2 linked regions of the Tribolium castaneum genome follow. The protein of the gene in region 1 interacts with the protein of each later gene in a biochemical or structural test. Links are inferred from orthologs where the notes say so. Each region holds a gene or a part of one and is shown in the gene's direction. Other genes may lie near its edges.

Evidence for each region.
Region 2: the proteins of dock (region 1) and Ptp61F form a complex in vitro, tested with the Drosophila melanogaster proteins (2 studies listed by BioGRID, with this or other methods). The link is inferred for Tribolium castaneum from reciprocal best matches to the Drosophila melanogaster genes dock and Ptp61F.

Annotation. Positions count from the first base shown.
Region 1 is NC_087398.1:11,595,588-11,599,390, forward strand, and holds part of dock (SH2/SH3 adapter protein dreadlocks), read left to right. Parts: intron 1-1,263; coding exon 1,264-1,959; intron 1,960-3,803. UniProt on the Drosophila melanogaster protein: Adapter protein that links cell surface receptor tyrosine phosphorylation to downstream signaling pathways and effectors, many of which are involved in regulation of the actin cytoskeleton.
Region 2 is NC_087394.1:35,291,831-35,295,083, reverse strand, and holds the end of Ptp61F (tyrosine-protein phosphatase non-receptor type 61F), read left to right. Parts: coding exon 1-50; intron 51-168; coding exon 169-366; intron 367-574; coding exon 575-696; intron 697-744; coding exon 745-946; 3' UTR 947-2,509; downstream 2,510-3,253. UniProt on the Drosophila melanogaster protein: Non-receptor protein tyrosine phosphatase. Required for maintaining dock/dreadlocks in its non-phosphorylated state. Negative regulator of InR/insulin-like receptor signaling through dephosphorylation of tyrosines when recruited by dock/dreadlocks.

The DNA of each region.
Region 1 (3,803 bases):
CATAAAACAAAAACAGTTTGACGTAAGATTGTCTTTTTTTTACAAATGAGCAACCAAATAATTTTAAAAGTAATAAAACACTCGACACTTCTGTGTCTTATTTGGCAATTTTTTCTACACTCAAAAAGAAAGACATCTCTATTAACAATAGTGTGGCGTACATTAATAAAAAATAGTATGAGAAATCACATAGTAAAAAATGAAACGAAAGTAATAATTCCATTTAAAAATTAACCTACACGTAGGGCAGAACATCCGAATTAGTAATAAATTTAAACTTGCATTTTGTGCAATTTCTTGCATTAATTTGAGAAGAGGCTGCGTTAAAATAAAGCGAAAATATCATGCTTAAATCTCAGTTTTATTACGAATAGTCATTCACTTTTTTAACTAAACAAGAAGAAATATTTGAAACATCAATATTCGAGGAAATAGGTATTAGCTTAGATATTTCTTAGATATTATCAGCTGTTTCAAAACTATAAAAACGCGAGTGTCGCATTTTAAAGAATATTTTTTTAAATAAGATTGATAAAAATATAAAATAGTTATTAATGAAATTATAAATTTCTCATCGAAATTATAAATTACATTAACTATTAATTTTTTTAAGTTTAAGTGCATAAATAATTTATAACAATGCGACGTTGGCGTTTTTATAATTTTGAAACAGCTAATAGCTATATAGTTTGTTTTGATAAGATTCCATGAAGTCGGTAAAATTTTAATTGTGGAGTCATAAGGTGAAAATATAAAATATTATTTTTTTTATAAAATTTATAAAGGCTATTCAGTTATTTGAATTTTTGTGCAATTTTTTGTATTAATTTATTAATTAATTTCTGCGTTAAATAAAGCCAAAGTAGCATATTTAAGCCTCAGTTTCATTAATTGTCTATTATTTGAACTTAAAACAAAAGATATTTGTTAAAAAAAACGAAATATTTGAGGAAATATTTAGTTTAGTTTAGTTATTTTGTGTACGTGTTGAATACAAGATGTTTTTTCACGAGTGCCTGGACCACCACATTGACTTAAAAATTGCTTAATTATGAACAGACGTCATGCTCACTTTTGATAAGATGCCATAAGCGATCATTTGTTCCGAATTCTTGAGTTATATTTTCATTTATTTATAATTTAACCGATAAATGGCGTTTTTCTCGGCATTTTTGAGCACATCCTAAGTGATTTCTCCAAGCCGCTATTTGTAATTTCATTTGCGCCTTGCTTCCGTTTAAATAAATTTGGTTCCGTCGGCAGGTAAAAAAGGGCGCCGGCTCTAAAACCCTCCCTTCGAATAACTCTCCCTCCCGGACGGTGGAATCCCCCAGTATGGCGCGTCGTCAAGCCGCCGATCCCTCCGAAGCCATCGGCACCGCCGTCGTCAAGTACAATTATCAAGCCCAACAACCCGACGAACTTTCCCTCGTCAAAGGTTCCCGAATTCTCATCTTGGAGAAGAGCAACGACGGCTGGTGGCGAGGTCAGAGCGGGAACGTCGCCGGCTGGTTCCCTTCGAACTACACCCAGGAGGAGGGCGACGCCGACGATACCCTTCACACGTACGCGATGGCAGAAAACGTGCTAGATATCGTCGTGGCGTTGTATTCGTTCTCGTCGACAAACGACCAGGAGTTGTCTTTTGAAAAGGGCGACCGATTGGAGATTTTAGATCGGCCTCCGAGTGATCCCGAATGGTACAAAGCGAGGAATGCGCAAGGACAGGTCGGCTTGGTGCCGAGGAATTACCTGCAGGAGTTGTCCGAGTATTTGACTCAGCCGTTTCTCGACCGAAAACAGGAGCCGATGGAGAGGTCGCAAGTGGCAATGGGCGATAAACCCCATCTGGTGGACAAGCCGTGGTATTATGGGAGTATCACGAGGTATATGTGTGATAATCTCCTGAATCAGAGAGGACACGATGGGGATTTTCTCATCAGGGATAGTGAAACGAATGTAAGTACAGTTGAACCTCTATAGCCCGAACTACGACACGACATACAAATAAAACGGCCCAGTTCCGTTATCGTTATAGTCTTTAAATCGAAATGTTATGGAAAAGCTTAAAAATGTTTAGTCAAAGAATTAAAAACAATTAAATTTCAATAAATTCTCAAGAGTAAGGGATGAAGGTGATGCAGTCGAAAAATATATTAACACTACGAAGACAAATGTTGGGTAAAAAGTAGCCACAAATAATTTTTTTGTTGATAATTTTAAAACGTCTCTTTAAGAAAAACGAAAAATTGGCAAAACAACTATAGTTTGTGAAAAATGTAATCGACAAGCTGAAAAAGAATTAGAGTAAAATGTTGTATTAAAAACTGTGTCTTTTTATAAAATAAGACCAAATAAGTACTATTTTATACGTTTAGTTAACGAATTTGAACATAAAATTATAATTTTTAAAATATGAGTGGTTGGGTATTTTGTAGCCAACTTTGGTGTATAACAATTTACTGAAAAAACTTCCTAGGAATAAAAACAAAATTTATGCTTTTATCAATTTACGCACTATCCCGTATCAAAAAAAGTGTAAGAAATTTGTAAAAAGTCAGCAAAACTGTTTCTCTACAGCCACTAAGACCTTAAACGTTCAAGCTAGTTGAACATAAGATTCCCTGAGGAATTTTAAATTAATTGAGTCATGATAAAAGTTAGGGAATTCCTCACCGAATTTTACTTTTTCTTTTAATTTGATTGTCGATAAAATGCACTAATTTTACCTCTGACTATGTATTAGTCTTTAGTTTAGAGGAGACTAAAGCACCTACTTATAATAAAATAATAAAGATAATAAATAATGATAATAAAAAATGTTCCGCCAGAGTTTTATAAGTTTATTTTTAGAAGATTAGAAACTTTATTTAAGTGTCAAAAAAGTTGGAAAAAAACAGAAATTAAGTATTAAAATCTGGTGACTTAAGACACATTTTATATTAATTCCTACAGCAGGGACATAATTTTTATTGCAATAAATTCCATTCCGAAATACGTAAAACACTTAAAATTGCACAAAAAAGCTAAGGAGAAGTTAACTAAACGTTGATCTTAAATATTGTTCTAAATTTGCTGTTGTAAAATCTGTCCTTTTTTCTGTAAGAATTCATCTCTACCTAAAAAATGAATTCATTGTATGGAATTACCGCTAGAAATATATATTACTAAAATCACGCACCTGTGTATTACGATTATTTTTTATTCAATTAATATTTCTATTTTTGGTTAGATTTTTATATCCATAATTATTTTATACAATTTGTCACTAACTAATTTTTCCACTCCTGAAGTACTTTTTTCACGTGTTCAATGGCTTCAACAAGTTACAGGTTTTTTTTGCTATTTTATAAATAGCATAAACTAAAATTTTAAAGTGAGAAAGTAAATAACATTTCAAAATGGCTTGACTAAAATACTCGTAATGCTATGCTTTTGCAACGGCTCATGAATCTTTAGTAATAAAAGGCAGTGCAACATTAAAAAATAATACGACCAGTATTTCCAACTGAAAAGTAGAAAAATAAAAAATTCAAACACTGACATTCTAAGAAACTTTAACGCTTCGAAACTAAAAAGATAAAATGAACTGAGACTGAAATTCTGAAGAATAAGTGAATAAGTGAAAAACTAATTGAAAAGCTGAAAAACTTAGAAACTGAAAAGATGAAATACAAAAAAACTAAAAACCAGTGAAATTAAAATTCCAGTTCTGTAGAACTAGAAAGAGTGAGAAATGAAAAAGTATAAAACTGCAAAATAAGAAACATTAAGAAATTATAAAACTGAAATTATGTATAAGA
Region 2 (3,253 bases), on another chromosome or scaffold:
CAATCATTGAAGGTGCAAAACAACTACTCAATCCAGATTCGAGCCCTACGGTAGGTGGAAATAAAGAAAACCTTTCCTATTTTTCCACTTTTCCAGACTCATCCTTGAACTATCCCTCCTATTATCCAAATTCCAAGCACAAAACTTGAAAATTGAATTAATTATTAGGAAAATCATATAATCGTGGATAATGAACCGGAAGACGGAGTTGCATCCGATTCGGACGATGACGGACCGCCTCCTCTCCCACCACCCCGGTTAGACAGTCTGAAGAAACAAAACGGTACTCCTTTAGACAGGCCGCTTCCAAATATCCCCAAGAGCATCTCCTTGAACGAGTTTAGTTACGAAGGCGATAGTGATGAGGTAAGTCAAGTGGGCTGTTTTGTGACACGTTTTAAATGTCTGTTGTGTTAAAAATGAAACTAAATTTTACGTAATTAAATAACAAAATGCTGTTGCGTTCCATGAGGCAAATTAGTTTTGTCAGTCCCGACGACAATTTGAGACTTCCTCGCGTACGAAGCAACTTTACGCTTTGTCGCAATTATTTTCAGTGGTGTTTTTATTGTAGTACATTCCGACCGGTCCGTTGCCTGTGGTTCCCGGTGACGAAGAAGAGGGCTCTAGTGAAGATGAGTTGGAGGATTTGCGTTCCGATAGTCCGTGTTCGGAGCCTGTGAGCCCCTCAGACAGGTAAAACAGCCCCCTTGCAGTTGGGAGTGAATCAATGAGTAATTTTAGTTTGTCGGCGTCCGAGTTGAGGCATCGCAAACGCGTGGAGCAAAGAGAAAAGTTGGAGGCCCAAGTGAGAGACATGAAACGGCGGCAGCAAGCCAACGAGCAGTGGACACAACTGAAGAGGTCTCTATACAAACCTTTATTTATAGCGGGCGCTATTGTTTTGGGCGGGGGCCTCATTTCCTATTTTTATTTTAAAAATTAAACAGAAAACAAGACATGTGTGTTAAGTCTATTAATGGTGAGAGCTGTTTTTGATTGGTTATCCGAGTTTCTCGACACGTACCCGGTTCAACGTTATAGTTTTTAAATTTTATGTATATTAGTCACAACTGTTTTTGGTAGCACTGATGGACTTTATTTCAAAGTTGTAATGAGAAACGGACCCTTGGTATATCACAGTTTCTGGATTACATATCAAGCTATTGTCTTATTATCTATTATGTTTTATTGAGGATGTAGCGATTTTTTTGTAATATTTATTTGCGTAAATCTTTACGATTCATGTTGGGAGTAAATGTTTTTAATGTTACCACGGATTTGAGAGCTTTTCCATTAAAACGCCATTACATCACACATCTGCAGCAGTTTTTGTTTATTTTAACATTTTCATTACTAATTTATTGCCACTCGGGTGGGATTAACATTAAAAATCATTTAGCCACAACTGGGGAACGATTACGGTCCTAAATACTGGGATGCGACACAATAAAAAATGCGTATTTGACGGTGAGTACAAGACAGTACAGGCAAATAGAGCATCACATTCTCAATAGTAAGACGTAAAAATTGCTCGAAAACTAACCAATTTGCGCACCCCGCCCCCAAAACGCTGCGAATACGGTTGAAGATACAAAAAAACATAAGGAAAAAAGTTGTAAAGAATTAAAAAAAAAGACTCAGAGACCATATCTTTATCTTCAACCCTTTCGGTTTAAATTGCTTTGAATGAGTTTTTCTTAGCTTATTAAGAATTTGATGCTCGATGTTCTGCCTGTGGTGAATTTAAATTAATTGAAAACAACTCGCCCCCATTTTTATTCGGGTACCGAAAATCGAGTTTTGTATCACATTCCTGGTATTTAGTTTAATTTGTGAAATTGAGTACTTTTAATTGCATTTCACTTCCTTTAATCATTGTGTAAGTAGGTATATATGCTGTATCGAGAGTGTAGAAGAAAAATATAACTTGTAGTGGAACGAGTGGGTAAGAAAAAGACTGAGAGATTACCGCCAAGCATTCCTTTTTGTTACGTGATCAAAAGTTTAATATTTTGGTGGTAGTCGTAACATGTTGAGTTGGTTTCGCATTCACTGAATGGTCATAGTTTTATATGTGTGGATTCATATAAGACTTGATGTTGAGTGATGGCTGACACAAGTTTTCCATCGGAACACTTGTGTAGGCCATCATGAATTACAGTAGGTACGTCTTATTGGTTTATTAATCAAATTACAGGGTGCTTATTGACAAAATTGATGCACAAAGCATTTTTACCAATTTATAAGAGTTTTCTATCTTCAGAAAAACGAGACAAAATTTTCTAAGGATTTTATACCTTATTTACACATTCCTTTTAAGTGCCTACGAAATGCTGTTATAACTGCGTCGACAATATGAATTTGATTGTGTTGTTACTATGATTTAAATTAGAATGTGACAATCGGTTTGAAGTTTGTTTATATCTGGACCGCCGATTATTTGTGATTGATTAATATTTTCTCAAGAATTTTATGGATATTCAATAAATACATTGAAAAATTATAACAGATTGTTTAATATACCTGAGTTTCTTCTTTCAGGGCTAAAACTTCACTTCAAGACTGACATTTGAACTTTTTCTGGAGAAGACTGGACTTTGATACATTCAGATTAGTTGAAGATAAGTTCTGCGGTCTTACTTTTTAGTAAAACTAGTCAAAATTTCTAGGTATGTTCGTCTTACTAGCATGTTAAGTATCTGATTGTTTGCGCCATTGCGATGTCAATTTTCGCGTTAGCTGTTGTAATCGCCTGGTTTTATACATAGTTAGCAGAAGCGCAGCTAATTGTCCAAAAATTGCCATCCTGTATTAACTAGCGTTTTGTACCCAAATGTGCAACGATATACTCTAAAAAATAGTTAGTGTCCCTCGTTTTATAAAACATTTGAAACAAAAATGTCAATCTAAATTTGTCACAATAGTGTACTGTGTAATGGTATTGTTCTCTTTATACATAACTGTAACAGCCACGTTGTTAGTACAAAGTTTTAATAGTGCCGGAAGAACTAACTTTCAAATTTATGCGAATCCTCTCCAGGAGTATCAACGAATTGCCTTTCCGCAATCAAAAGATAGTGTAAGACCATTTGTAAGCAATAAAAATGATGTTTTTAATAGAGCCTTATTCATTAAGAACACGAACAAAAATCGCTTAAACTTTAACGAAATCACACAAGCGCTCAGTAGACTGCTTGAAAAGGTCGCTTCTCCGATGAACCAACGGAAAAGAGATACGATTATCAAAGCC